Diceros bicornis minor: one gene and its partner. The protein of the gene in region 1 interacts with the protein of each later gene in a pairwise test. Links are inferred from orthologs where the notes say so. Each region holds a gene or a part of one and is shown on either strand. Other genes may lie near its edges.

What was found.
Region 2: the proteins of DVL3 (region 1) and BAHD1 interact in binary tests that used the Homo sapiens proteins (3 or more experiments, as listed by UniProt). The two-hybrid records come from large-scale screens. The link is inferred for Diceros bicornis minor from reciprocal best matches to the Homo sapiens genes DVL3 and BAHD1.

What each region holds. Positions count from the first base shown.
Region 1 is NC_080754.1:39,518,132-39,525,963, forward strand, and holds the start of DVL3 (segment polarity protein dishevelled homolog DVL-3), read right to left. Parts: upstream 3,035-7,832; 5' UTR 2,803-3,034; coding exon 2,642-2,802; intron 1-2,641. Other genes in the region: EIF2B5 (translation initiation factor eIF-2B subunit epsilon), read right to left, coding at 7,775-7,832. UniProt on the Homo sapiens protein: Involved in the signal transduction pathway mediated by multiple Wnt genes.
Region 2 is NC_080744.1:38,306,468-38,313,804, forward strand, and holds the start of BAHD1 (bromo adjacent homology domain-containing 1 protein), read left to right. Parts: upstream 1-4,244; 5' UTR 4,245-7,337.

The DNA.
Region 1 (7,832 bases):
GAGAGACTGAATGAAAGCAGCCTTCCTCCTCTGACCTACTTTCCCATCTGTCAGCAGGGGTTCCTGACCTCTGCCCTGACCCTCCTCTCATGGGGCTAGGATAAGTGGCAGCCCTATCACCTCTACAGTTTGCCAAGGCTCAGCATCTCCCTCAGAGAGGATGTATCTGTTAAATGGTGATAATAATAATACTTACAACTGTGTGATTAAGGCCCTACACTGTGGAGGCAGATTCCTGATGTTGAATCAAGTTCTGCCACTTACTAGCTGTGTGACCTTGGGTAAGTTACTTAAGTTTTCTGTGCTCTAGTCGCCTCATCTATAAACTGGAGATATTACACCTATTTCACAGGGCTGTTAAAAGGATTGAATGAGTAAAGATTTGAAAAGCATTTAGATCAGTGCCTGCACACTGTAAGCACATAGAAAGAGTTTGTTAAGTAAGTGAGATATAGATATATACATGCTCCTCAGCTATTCCTCTGTGACAAGACAGCCCTACCAGCTCTCTTGCTCATTAATCTTTCTGGGGATAAAAACAAAATCAACCTCCTCCACTTCTTTTTAGCATTGTTCTCAACCCTGTTAAATTGGCTCTAATTTTTTGGTTTCCTCTAATATTTTGCAAAGGATGGTTCAAGTACCACTGAGGTATGCAAGATGGCTTCGCGTGTACCTGAATGAACGTTTAATTCAATAGTTAAGTATTTATTTTTCACATATTTTAGAAAGAAATATAGATAAAAAATCGGACCTGTGATTTCATATTATTGATTGGGTCAAGCTAAGAAAGAGTGAGTGGACTGACAGTGGATTTAAAGAACAATATTAAGTCAGCAGTGAGTGGATGTAATGGGGTCCCTCCTATGACTGCAGTTAGGCTTGGCTTGACAGCAGCCTGGGGAGAGTGGGAGGCAGCCCAGAGAGGTCTAGGCTCAGGAGGTGGGGGTAGGCCCAGTGGGCTCAGGGATGAGTGGGACTCAGGGATGAGAGGCGGTTGGAGACACAGACTTATCCTAGTCCCTCAAGGCATCTGGCCCCAGGGTGGCCCCCTACTACAGTAGACTCTAGCTGATTTCCCCCTATCTCATACCCTGAGGCAGTATCTTGGTCTCTTCTGACTCTATTCTCTTACCAGGCCAAGGCATCTGCCCCCTCACTCCCACCCCCAGCAGATCGATCCCTCTTCAGAATCTTCCAATCAGGGGTGTCCTTCTCTGGACTGAAGCGAGATAATCATTACTACACCAGGAGTACCCCACCCCAGGGCAGGAACAACAACAACAGAAACAGGAGTTAGAAGCTGCATAGCACTTCCCACTATATAAAGCACTTATGATCTCATGGGCTCATGGAACTCTGAGTTCCAGGGGGAAAGGTGACAGCAAAACATGCCAGGCAGAAGAGAGAGAAGGTGCTTGCTTTGCTTCCCAGGGCAGGAGGGCCGGGGTCCTGGGAGAGAAGCCACACTGATGAACACTGGGGAGAAGAATGTCCCCCCTCACTCAGCTCTGGGGCCTCAGCTCCCAAGAGCAGTACAGGCCTCAAGCTAGGGCTGGAGCAGCAGCTTTTAGGCCTGGAGGGCCCAGGAGGGCCTTCCCCACAGGCCTCCAGGCCCAGTGCCCAGTTAGTGTGGGGCAGACTAGTGTGGGGGCCTCCCCCTCCCCCAGTCTCCTGGGAGTTGGGGGGGTGGTGAGGGGATCGGCCAGGCTCCCCCTCCTAGGCCAGCTGCTACAGAACCTTCCGGCTCCAACATTCCATCCCCTCTTAAAGGGGAAGTCGCTGCTTCCAAACTCCGCCTGTCCAAAGCCCTGCAGCTGGGTGGAGAAGACCCCGCCAGGGAGGGGAAGATGAAGAACACTAAGAGACTCTTCCTGGCCCTCCCATCCAGGCTCTGAGGCCCTTTCCAAGGTCTCCTCCTCGGCCACCATCTGGAGGAAAAAGGCCCCAATTCGGAGGGAAAATCAGCACCTGGGCTAGTGAGGACTCCTCCCAGGGGCCGGCGCTCTGCTCCCTTGATAACATCCTGAACACCCCAAGAGAGAGAGGGGAGACAGCTAAATAAACATCAGGTCTGCAGGCCTTAGCTTACAGCCTGGCGCCTAAGCACCCTCCATCTCACCCCCTCCTCCAGTTCAAAGTCCTGCACCATAGCCCTTAGATGCATGATACTCCAAATATGGCTCTGAGTTGTGGAGCCGAAAAGATGGAGCAGGCGAAGGCCGAGTGCCCAACACCCCAAGTCTATGCTACAAAGGTGGCTCCCTTGGCAGGAGGAGGGTTGGGGATTCTGGCTCTGGAACTGGGTGGAGGGGGGTGTGTGTCTGTCTATGTGGGCCGCTGGTCTCTGAGGAGGTGAGGGGACTTGACTGGGCTGAAATTCTGATTGCTTTGGGGGAGTTGAACGTCACCCTAAACTAGGGAGACCAAGGTCCCCCGAAAGAGGGGAAACGAGAGTCCCTCGAGGGGCTGAACTCCAGCCTCTGAAAAAGCCAAGGGGGCCCAAATAGCCGGGTCGCCCCTTAGAATCCAGAGCAGGGCTAGGAGCCAGTGTAGCAAAGGGGAGTCCAAACTGGCCAAGTGGCTCCCAGAAGCCGGAGGGGCTGGGGTCCCCCAGAGGCGAGGCGGGGGCCATCCTCACCCGAAATCGTCGTCCATAGACTTGAAGAAGAACTTATAGCTGGGTCGCTGCAGAACGCCCTTAAAGTCCGCCAAGGTGACGCGCTCGGCGGGCAGGGGCAGCTTCACCAGGTACGGCGTCTCCTGCCCGTCCAGGTGGTAGATGATCTTGGTCTCGCCCATGGCTCCGGCCTCGGGCCCGGCGGCCCGCGCGCGGCCTGCTTGGGCGGCCGGGCCGGGCCTCTCGGGCGGCGGCGGCGCTCGGCGCGACCCAGCGGCTCAGCCCAGTCGGCGGCCGGCCGCGGCGCCAGCTCCCTTGTTCTTCAGCCGCTCCCGGGTCCCAGCGCCGCCTGCCGCCGCCGCGGCCGCCGCTTCCGCTCCCCACTCTTCGGCTCGGCTGGCGACGGCGACTCTTCCGGTGGCCGCGGCCCTCTCGGCTCTGGGCTGCAGCCGGGCCCGCTCCCCTCCCCTGGCCCCGGCGCGGCCCCGCCCCGGCGCGGCCCCGCCCCCGCCGCCGCCAGCCGCGCTGGCCTCGCGGCAGATGTCCTGGCCCCGGGCCTGGCCCCGCGGACACCCCGCCCACCGGCCGGGCGGCGCGCTCCTGCTCCTGCGCTCCGGTCCCAGGCGCGCGGCGAGCGTCGCGACGGTCACCTAGGCCCCCAGAGATGGAAGGGCAGATCTCACTAGGATGGCCGCCTTCCTGGACTCTTCAAGGACCTTGCTCTGGACCCGAGGGGGATCTTGGCTGCTCCTCTGCAGCTGGCAGGGGTGAAATGCAGGGGTCCCTTTGGTTCCCAGAGATGGGAGGGGGAGCGCGGTTCTGATCATGTATAGCTGGAAGAAAGTGACCTCGACATGGCCATTTAGGGTCTGTTGAGAAGCACAACTGCTCTCACTGAGTCTCCAAACTGAGCTCCTTGAGGACAGAACAGGATCGAGTTCTAATTCCTTCTTAAAACCTCAGTACCTAGGTGCAAAGTAGTGGTTTAATAAGTGGATTGAATCCAGAATGGGTACAATAATGAAAATGCTCTCAAACGGAGAACTAGGTATAAGCAGTTCCTAATAGACCTCCTCACTCCTTAGCTTTTAATTCATTTAATAAATATTGAGTGCCTACTATGTGCAAGGCAAACTGTATAAGATACAGCAAAAACAAGACAGGCTGCCCTCAGGACCTTGGCTCATCTGCAAGGAGGCACAAGCTTGTATTTAAATAACTTTAGAGTGACAAATGCTATGAAAAAGATAAAATGGAGTGATGTGATAATAACCGGAAAGAGGATTATGGGTGGTCAGAGAAGGCCTCTTCCATTTGAGCTAAGACCTAGAATTAATGAAGAAGCAGCTATAAGAAGGTCTGGTCTGCAGCAGGCAGACCAGAGTCTGCATTCCAGGCAGAGGGCACAGCCAAATTCAAAGGCTTAAGGCAGGAATAAACTCGCCAAATTTGAGGAACAAGAAGCAGGCCATTGTGACTATAGGGATAGTGGTAGATGAGGCTGAAAAGGTAGATTGGAACCAGATCACAAAGGTCCTTTTAGGCCACAGTAACAAGTGTGGGCTCCTCCCACTCCATTTTGTACACTGTGGCCAAATTAGCATTTCAAGAGTAAGTACAGTCATGTGCAGCATAATGAGGTTTTGGTCAACAATGGACCGAATATACATAAGATTAGTACCATATAGCCTAGGTGTGTAGTGCGCTATACCATCTAGGTTTGCGTAAGTACATGCTATGATGTTCACTATGAAATCGCCTAACAACGCATTTCTCAGAATGTGTCCCTGTCATTAAGCGACGCATGACTGTACCTCTTTCAGACACTTCTTTTGCTCAGAACTCTCCACATTCCCCAATGCCTTCCAAATATTCTTAGCATGATATTCAAAGCCTTCCATAATCTAACTTTTTCCTACCTTTAAAGCCTTTTGTTTCAGTATGTCCTGGCTAAATTTTTTACTTCAGCAAATCAACCTATTTGCTAGCCCCTGCACACACCTTGTATATTTTCATTTCATACCCTTCTCTTTACTTTAAATTTTATTAAAGTAATATGTGTGGCCGGCCCCCATTTCCTTTTATTTTTAAATGATTTCATCTCTTTGCAAGATTTTGTTAACATTATTTCCAACCTTTCTCCTATCCAATTGGATAGGTAAAATATTCCCGATTGAAAATTCAAGTACATAAGGATGGATGTACAGTCTCTTTCCTATTTGGTTCTCTAGTCCTCCAGCTCTCAAAAGGAAATAATTCATTTACTTATTTTTAATTTCTAAGAACTCTTTTGTTCTCCAATTGTTCCTTCACAGACACAATATCTTTCCTCTTTGAGTTTTGAGAATACTAATTATAGCTTTCCCCTCCTGAAGTTTTCAAAAAGCTCCCTACTTTGTCACTGTTTCCTTCGTTTCAATTTTCTGTGTTTTGGTCTCTGCCTTTCACGCTGGAAGTTTCCTCAAATGTTTGATGGCCCTAAGCAGTCTATTCACGTTTAAGAGTGAGATACTAAAAAGCTGATTGGGAGCTCTGTCCATGCATACGGCTTATTAACTAACAGGCTTCACTGTAGGGTGATCCAGTGGGGGAAAGATGACTTCTCCCCGAATAAATAAAAAATGTTAAGTATTTGCAGGTCCTTTTTCTGCAGTTGTTCAGTTTGTTTTCGCCTGGGAGTATAAGTCGGTGTATGCTGATATTCAGAGCCTTACCACTCATATACTATCACTTAATCCCTCATTTTCAATCTAGCCCCTCACCCGCATCTCTACCATGCCTGCTGTTGAGTCCAGAGGCTCTAATAGTTTACGTATTCCCTGAGGTTCTGAAATTTCATGGGGCTATTTCATTCATTATGCTGGGTGCTCATGGGCTCTGTCAGTCTGGAAACTCATGACCTATGGGTTTAGGAAACCTTTGTAAATATTTCTTTGATAATTTCCTCCCCATCGTTTCTCCAAAGACTCAATCTTCCATTTCTTGCGGGGGAGAAGTTGCGGTAATCACCTGGCTGGATCAGATGAGGGGGACCTGGGGGGCTTTTTCTTAAACAGATCTTTTTCGAATTTCCTTCCACCTCACCTCTAGCTCTCAGCCCCAATCCTTACCTCCTCTGCTGAGCCTTTTCTGGGTCCAGAAGGGCACACTGGTTTGCTTCTTGTTAATAACCACCTCAGCAGGTAAAACCCATCTCATTCTGCTCTGCCAGGTCAACTTTCACTCTTCCATTTATTTTTCATTTTCCAAAATGTTGATGTCTCTCATTATTGTCATCACCTCCTGTTTTCCTTATCATTGAATCATGTGCCTTTTTTGAAGTCCTTTACTGGCATTTGAATGGGTTTTGGAGGGAGTAAAAAGCCCATGTCTTTAATTTGCACATTTAAGTAGAAATCCTTGGCTTTGCTTTTGCCATTCTACCTTTTCTGTTTTTTAGGCCACTCAAGCATCACAATCCTGTAAGCCTTCCCTAATCACCCCAACTGGAAGGACCCTCTTCCTCCTAAAAAGTTCTATAGGCCACTTCTGATCTCTGCCACCCATTAGGTACAAATCAGAGGTGCCCTATAACTATTTGTATTTAACTGCCCCTATTAGGTCCATGCCATAAACAGAAACTGAGATTTATTGAATAAGAAAAGTAAATTAAGTCAAACCCCGGCCAGCCTATCTTTTCTTCTTTAGAAATACTCAGTAATGCCCCTTCAAACCCCTGAGTACAGTTCAGTATCCTCTTCCTCAGCTTATTCCTTTCCACCCAAATGAAATGAAGAAAGGCAACCATTTTATCTATGATGTCCAGGAGGGCTACTTGTTACCAGTAACATTTGCCACAGTTTAAGTGTCAACAGAGTAAGGGTTATAGGAAGGCAACCAAGAGCTCAAAAAGATGAGCTAGAAGGGCATGTCTCATGGTTGAGGTTAGAGGAGACAATACAGCAAACTGACAAATTCCAGCTTTAGAGTCCAATAACAAATCCTGGCTCTATCAATTACCAGCTATGGGACCTCTTTGAACTTCAGGCTCCTCATCTGAAAATGGGGATAAGACCTACCTCACAGGGCTGATGTGAAGGTTAACTAAAATAACACATGAAAAATATTTAGCAAAAAAAAAAAGCAAAATGCCTATCATACAGTAATCAGTCTCTCAATATCAGAGGAAAGCCCATTTCACAGGATCTTCCTCTGTCTTAGGATATCCATTGCTGGCTTGGGGTTATATTTGCCTGTGAGGGCCATTTCCCTTTACCTGGACACTGAATAAGCTGAAGCAGAAAGAATTCTGGATTATGAGGCTCAAGTGCTGGATTATGAGGCTCAAGTCCTTAGCCTTACCCCTCAGGAGTCATGAGACCTTGAGCAAATTTCCTTTTCTTTAAGATGAAAAGTAGCTCAGCTTCCCTGACAGCAGTACTGGATCAACTGGACAAAGTACATGAGGGACTGGTAGGTGGTTAATGGACTGACTTACACTTGGCATCATCACCCTCTGGCAGAAAAGTGTTTGGACTAGGACTCCCTATGGAAAAAGGCTCAGGCACACCACCTCAGGATCACAAGTTGGTCCATAGAGGCTAGAAAAGAATCTAGGCCCTCCACTATCCATAAGCCATGGCAATGGTCAATTAGCGAGGCACCACAGTACCACCTAGTGGCCATAATAGCCCTCTTCGCCCTCTCCCCCAGGTGTTAAGGAAAAGCTGACATGTCAGAGGTTTAGAACTCTTTGGTCGCCTACTTCATCGGCTGATCAGTCAGAGCTGGAAGGAAACCAAATACACTCCTCTCTCTCTTTTTTAATATTAACAAATACAAGCAGCAGAGAGGGCCAGCTGCTCTCTGCTGTTCCCTGAGGGAACGCCAGAACACAAAGCTGTTCCTCTGGCCTTCCTCTAACTACAGGGCCTGTTTCGCTCCTCCTTAGGCAGAGCTTTGTTCCAGCCCAGCTTCCCTCATCCCAATTCCCCAGTGGGGATGGGAGGCACGTGGTTGCTGGCGGTGGGAAGAATACTGTAATTCCAGCCTCTGCTCCTTTAAGTCTCAGCTCAGACGGTGGTCACTCAACCTTCTGCAACTAGCCTCTTGCTTGCCCTGGCCCAGAAGCCAGGAGGGCAATCAACCACACCCACGGGAGCAGGCAGTGTGACTTCAGTCATCTTCAGATGACTCCTCTTCTGCCTCTTTTAGCCACTGGATGAACCTCTGC
Region 2 (7,337 bases), on another chromosome or scaffold:
TCTGAGGCAGTTAACCCTTCCTGATGGGTCTGGAGGCGCCTGGGTAGGGAGAGCCCCTTGCCTGGAGGCAGGGAGAGGGTGATCCAGGAGATCTGATGGATCCATTCCTGTCTCCAGACCAAGGGGCAAACCCTTTTCAGTGGGGGATCTCTGGGCTGCTGGGTGTGCAGCAGTGAGAAAAGGTGATGGGCCCCAGGCATTGGCACAGCTGCCTTAGTGGAGTAGGGGGTGGGGGGTGGGGGCACCACTCAGGAAAGGTTAGAGGAGCTGAAGGAAGGAGGAAGAGATGGAGACCTTTCCAGGTGTGGAAGGGCTCTGGACTGGGAAGGAAGGAGGCCCAGGTGAAGGGGTCCCTGGAAATGGGGTCAAGGAGGAGAGGAGAGGCCGAAGGGTCCCTAGGGGGACAGGCAGGGGATGCAGCCCCTGGCGTCTTCTTTGCTGGCTTGTTGACCAGCTTTAACAAAGTAGATGGGGAACTGAGGTAGATCAGTGGGCTGGCATAGGAAGAACACCAAGTGCCTTTAGCCAGCCTGTGTCTCCTAATGGTCACCCACTCAGAGCCTCCTGGGGCAAAGGAGATAGCCACCCACATCGGGGAGGCTCTGAGGGAAGAATTCCTCCAGCTGCCTGGCAGGCCAGGCAGTCTGGCTAGGCTGGGTAGTTTGGAATGGGCTCTCATGACCACTCTGCTTCCTCTCCAGTCAGTGTTGCCTTTTTCCCTCCCACCAGGGCCCCAAATAAAGACAGCTCTTCCCCCTACCCCATCCCAGGGCCACTAGATCTTCACTCCTGAATGCTGGGGAAAAGTGCAGCCCTCCAGCCTCACCCTGCAACCACTTCCTAGGCCTAGCACGGGCTTCCTGCCACTTGGGTCTCCTTCCCTGCGACTAGGTACATTTCTCTTCTGACCCTTTTGGCCTCAATCCCTGCCCATTCATGGGCATGAAGCCAAGGTCAGCACAGGCTGGGCTGCTGACAGGAGCCTGTCCCCTCTTCTGCCTTGGCTCCAGGCTGCCAGGATGGTATGGCTCAGCTCCAGTGGTGCCTGCTGCTGTTACCCTCTATCACCAGGCTCTGATGAGGGGTGGGGGACATGAGCCCATGTGACAGAATGGGACAGGGAGAGAGAGCATTTCGTGAGGGGGAAGGTAGGGCTGGCCTGGTGGTGGTGGGGTACTGCTAGGAATCTTTGTCCTGGGAGGCTCAGGGAGGGGAGAAATCTTTTAGTGTCCTACTTGTATAGATTTGGGGATTTTGCTTTCCCTAAGGGTGGGAGGTGGGAGAAGTAAGGGGCACTTGTCCTAGGAGAACTTGGTCCTTTGAGAAGTTTCTAAGCCACAGTCTTAGCTTTTAGCTTCTATTCATACACTTCCCCTACTGGGTGGCCCCCTCCTTTAAATGTGTCCCCCACACAGCTAAGACTGTCTGGGCCCCCTTGACAGCTCTAGTGGCAGATGGGGAACGGTCTTTTAGAGTTTTATTTCCCAGCCATGGGGGCTAGCAGCGCTGTTGTCTTAAAGGCTGCCTTCCTGAGTGCTGGAGTCTCAGGTCTAGGAAGGGCTAGGCAGCGTGTGTGGTGCAGCAGGAGCCCCTCAGCCACACTCCAAGGCTGGGTTTCTCCTCTAGTACCCAGGCAGCCCCAGCACTCGGGGGTGCTTCTCTCTGGGGGTGCTTCTCTCCACCAAGGCTTAGCTCGGCCCAGCCCCTCCCTAGGCTGCTCCCAGCGCTCTGGTGACTTGACACTACCCTCGTCGCTGCTGCTCCTTTTACCTCCCAAAGCACCCCTCCCCCGCCTGAATTGGGAATGAGGCTTTGTTCTGGGCTGGACTCAGCATTTCTCAAGAACCTACTACGTGCACAGCCAGTGCTTACCGAAGAGAAGCCCTATGCCGGGTCTGGCAACACAAGGTGCCCAAGACACAGCCCCTTCCCACACCTCAGAGGGACCTCCCACACCTCCGTGTGACCTCAGCCTGCTGTGCCCACCCACCCTGCTGACCCCGCGAGCGTGCTCAGGCTTGGAAAGGCACGTCTGTGGGTGTGAGACGGAGCCACAGCATTCGGTGACTAGGGGGAAGTCAGGTAAGTGTCCACGCTTGGTCCCATCCTCGCTTGGGGACGCGAGGGAGGGAGTCCAGCCGGGGCTGTCAGGCTGCCCGCCCCCTCTCCCCTCCCCCAAAGAGCTCTGATGTTCCCCGCGGTAGTGGAAGAGGGTGTGTGGGTGTCAAGGACTCACAGACCAGGCTCTGCTGTCAGCTGGAAATGGATGAGGGTTCCACACTCTGCTTCTGGGAAGGGTGAATTAGGAGCTGGAGTAGGGGGCGGTAGGTGAAGGGGAGAAAGAGGAAAAAGAGATGCGGGTGAGGGGTTACCGAGCCAGGACCGACCTTGCTTGAAAGGAAAGGAGACGTGGCAGGCAGGGAAGTCGGAAAGATGAGGCAAGGGCGGGAGGGGCTTCTCAGCAGTCGGGGCCCTTTCGCTGGAGTCTGGGGCCCTTTCTGCAGGAAAGGGGGGTTGTCCTCGCTTGATTTTCGGCTAGTCTTTCCGAAGCTGTGCCCTGGGGGCAGCAGCCGCTGGCGAGGGTGGAGTGTTCCTCGGCCTGCAATTTTCTCCAGTGGGTGGTGGGGAAGAGAAGGGAGAAGAGGGATGTAGAGGGGTGACGGCCAGGGCGGGGGCGAGATAAGATTTCCAGGGGGGGGGTAGCAGCTGGGGGATTGGGGCTCCAGGGTCAGGTCACCATGGGATACCGGCTCAGGCTCGGTAGACGAAGAGAAAAATCCAAGAAGCCGGCAAAGAAAACCAACCCCCACCACCACCCTTGGCACCGTACCCCTCCCCCCAGGCCCCACCACTCCCCGCACCGCCTCCCCCGGCCGCCTCGTGCTGCCCCCTGCGTTGGGACGACCGACCCACGATTCTGATTGGTCGGAGATCGGGAGGGGGAGCCAAGGGCCGGATTGGCTGGCGAGGCCAGCGCAGGGCGGGGCGGCTGATTGGTGGAGCTGGCCGAGGGGCGCGCCGCTGATTGGCTGTGGACGAGGAAGCAGGAAGGAGGGCGGTGGAGGCTCCGCTCTCGGGGAGTTTGTGGGGGAACCGCGAGCGGCGTAGCGGATCCCGGAGCCCGGCCCCCGCCGCCCGCCCGTCCGGCTGCCTGCCCCGCCCGTCCGGCCCCCGCCGTCCGCCCGCCCGGGCCAGGCGCGCCCGCCCCCCCGACGGCCCCGCCCGGCCGCGGCCCCCGCTCCGCCCGCCCGGCCCCGGCCCCCAGGAGGAGGCGCTGACGCAGCAGCGTGGAGCCCGGGAATTGAGCGCCCCCGGGGGGTTCCAGCCGCCGGATTCCAGCCCGGCTGGGGCCTGCGGGCGCCCAGAGCTGCGCCGTCCGCGCCGCCGTCCCGGTGAGCTAGGGGCCGGGGTCGAGGAGGGGGGAAGAGGCGAGCAGGCGAGAGGGAGCGAGCAAGCCAGCGAGGCAGACAAGCGAAGGGGAGAGGACCGGCCGCCCGTCAGCGCGCCCCACCGAGCGCGCCGCGTCGCCGCCCCCGCCAGCCCGGGAAGGGACGGACGGACGGACGACGCGAAGCAGGTGCGGCCGCCCGCTCGCGGCGCGTCCCTCCCCCGGGTCCGGCGCCACGGTCCCGCCATCGGGGAGCGCAGCGCGCCTCGAGGTGACAGCCCCCCGGGGCCGCTCGCTTCGCAGGCCGGGGGCGGGGTGGGTGGCGGCCGCAGGGTGGCAGCTCGGCCGGGAGGCGGCGGCGCGGGCGTCCCGGGCCGCGGAGGGCGGGAGGACGCCGGTCGTTTCCTCGCCGCGGCGGAGCCGGCTCGCCTCCGAGTGCGCGGGCGGCGAGGCCCCGGCCCCCCCCGTTGCGCCCCCTCCCCCTTCGCGGTCCCCGAGGCAAGAGGCCGCGGCCGGGGGCGGCGCCGCGGGATCGCCCGCTCAGGGTGGGGGGCGCCCTCCCGCGCTGGGAGCTGGCCGGTTATTACTGGATGGGGGGCAGAGGATGGGGACCGCGCCGGGGCGGGGGGTAGTGTAGACCGGACCTGATCGGGCGGGGAGGAAGGGAGGCGCCGAAGACGGAAGGGAACCGGTTCGAGTAGCGAGTGTGGGCCGCGGGAGGCCCGGCGGGGACCGTGCGGAGCGGCGAGCGAGTCCGAGGTGGGGCGGGGGGATCGAAGTTGTCAGACCGCCTCCAAGTGACAGCGGGACCCTGTGCTCGCGGCCCGGCCTGGTCCTGCCCAGCCCGCCTCGCCGCCTCTCCTCCGGGGCGGGGTGCCGGGTCAGGTCGGGCCCGAGGGGCCCGCTCGGCGGTGAAGCGCCGGACAAAGGCGGCGCCGGAGCGGGCGCAGGTGGTGGCGTCGGGGAGGGGAGCGGGTCCGAGCCACCCACCCCGAGGGGCGGGCGACAGGACCGGACTCTGCCCCGGGGATTGCGGGGGCCGGGGCGCCCGCCGGGAGGAGCTGCGGCACTGGCTCACCGCTCCAGCCGCGGATCGCCTCGCGGTTCTGGGAAGAGAGGGGTCGACCTGGCCAGGGCAGAGGGGCAGAGGTGGGGGTGTGCACACGCTGGGCCTGGCCGGTGGTGATCGGGTTGCTGGAGTCACCGAGACGACAGTGCAGTGAGCCACTCTGGAGTCAGCCAGGAATGAGGGGTTTCAGCAAGCAGAGGCTGCCCACGGGCAGGGGTTTAATCCCACGTAGGACATCTCCTAGTCGACATGTCAACAGTGTTAAGAGGGCAGGACACCAGTTGGATTGGGGACTAGGAGACAACCCCAGATGTGCTACGGCAATGCGTCCACAAGTGCCTTCAGCACTTTTCTTTAGCCAAAGGAGATACCCACATAGGGAAATGAGAAGCTGAGTTTATAAATGCAGGCAGGCATTTAATGACTAAATAAAAAAGGTTTCCAGTCCTTTTTCCTTTGTGCGGCTTGAGACTTGCCTCCCCAGTCTCTCCACCTCTGTGTTTTCTGAAAAAAGGAGAAAAGTGCCCTAGAGGCACCACATGTCCTGGAGGGACGCCACTGTCCTTGGCCTGCTGGAGGGCACTTGGAAAGCACTGGCTTAAGCTATGAGTGCCTCTAACCCCACCAGTGACCAGCTCTAAACTGGTTGCTGTTTTCCCATTTGTAAAAACCCACTTAGAGGTACCGTGCCCCTTAATGTGACCTCATACTTAATGGAAAAGTTGGGAGACCACAAAGACAGGGAGGCTCAGGCTGTTCAGAATGTGGTCTTTTGCTAGAATCTGAGTTCGAATCCCACCCCACATAGGTGTTGGTTACTAGGTGCTCCCAGCTGTGGTTGGCTCTAACCCTGCCCTGGGAAAGCTGCCTATCAGCCTTGCTTAGTACAGACACGGAGTTAATTCATGGCCACCCTCTATCCCCTCCCCAGGAGGGTCTAGACCCTAGGCTGGGTGGAGTTGAGCCTTGTGGGAAAGGGAGGTATTACCTCTTGCAGGAGACTGAAGTTTGTTCTGAGAGAATTTAATTGTATGTCTAAGATCCAGAGAATGGTGAAGAATCTCAAGGCCTTCATGCCTTCTCTGGGGCTACACAGTACGTGATTTCTTTTGGTGGCAATCAGAAGGGGGTGACCTGGTCTGGCCGCTGGAATATATGAAGGGGAATTGCCAAAACATTTTTCTCTTTGACAAGCTCTTACCGGGCAGGAGACTCAAGTCAGTCAAAGAGATGTCTGGGAGGATTTGCTCTGGAGACTTTAGCCAGTGAAGAGCTTCTTTCTTTTTTATGTCTCCCTCCTTTTCTTTCTTTCTGTTGCTCTGCTGTCCCCATGTCAGCCCTGTGTTGTTGTCATGGCCTTTCTTTCCCTCCGGCTTCCTCTGGTCCTTCTGATCCAGTCTGTACACAGCTGCTAGATCATTCTTCCTAAAGCACTCCTCCCCCGGTGTCACTCCCCTATCCACAGACTTGCAGTGGCTCCCCTTTTCCTGCAGTCTGACCCTAGACAGTGTCCCCTGAGGCTCTCCCTTAGCTGTGCCATGCACATTTGTCTCCCTGCGTCTTTGCTTCTGCTGCTTTCCCCAGTTGTCCCCAATGAGGAGCCCCTTGCCTTCCTCTCCTCCCGCCTGAACCTCCTCATCCTTCATCTCACTGTCACTTAGGACACCAGGCCAATAATGCTTGCCTCTGCGACTGTGACACTAGAATTTATAACATGGTGTGTTTTTGAGTGGTTTTGTAGGTTGGAAGTTTCTTAAGTACAGGGACAGTATGAGTGTTAAAGCTTTGTGTGTGTGTGTGTCTGTGTGTGTGTGAGAGAAAGACTATTCCAGGATTTCTGGTATAGTGCAGTGCACATTGTTTTTGTTGAATGAATAAATGCAGTTGGCTGCTTGGTTGGGTGGGAACAGAGGGGAAACATTCCCTTCTGCTTCCCCCAGAAATGCTCAGTATGGAGTCCTTGGTGGTTTCCAACCTTTTCTGTCAATGGCATATAGATAGAGCATGTTTCGGGTGCTTTAGCATGGGGGACAAATGAAATTTAGTGTTGTTTGTGATATTCTGGCTGGTGAAGAGTCTGTCCTGTGGATTGCTCACATGATACCCTATAGACATGAATTGGAAAAGGGCTGTAATCCTGTTTTGCTCCTACCCTAGCAGGCCATTCTCTTCACCCGGCTTTGCTGCTCTTATGCAATTTTCCTTGTTGTCCATGTTAAATGAATCCATATGTTTTATCTCTTCTCAATCCTGGGTGTAAATGAGGGAGAAAACACGGTTCTGAGAACAGAAAAGAAAAGGATTGCTGGGTCTTGCCTGTGGACGGGACTTTTGGGACTAGTGTTGGAAGAGGTGTTTATAGGGGCATCGCTGACATGGGAGGCACGATCAGCCCCACACTGGACCCGTCAGAAAGGAAAGCTATGATCCCGGCTTTCTCGGAACTTGCGTTTTTGTTTACCATCAGCCCTGGACCATGAGGGAAATGGGAGAGAGGACTGGTGACTGGTTTGAGTCTAGATGGTGAAAAAATAAATTCTGCATCCATCCCCTTTCCCCCAAACCTCCCTTTTGTGCCCCAGTTTGATGATTAATGGACTAGCATTTCCCTTCCAAGCGGGAAGGCCACCCCTCACAGTTGCCATGGCAATGCAGACCGCTCCCTGTCAATTAAAAAAAAAATCCCTACTACTTCTGTCCTCCTTGCTTCTGCTCTAGCAGGAGACAGGCTACCTCAGAACGCATCTCCTGGGCTCTGTCAGCTGCCCAGGCTGTTTTTTGCTGTGTGTCCTAGAACACAGTCCTTCCTCTCTTTCGGAGGTGTGCCCGAGTTTCTTTACCCTGAGCAAATTGTGCCCTTCTTGGATCCAGCAGCCCCTG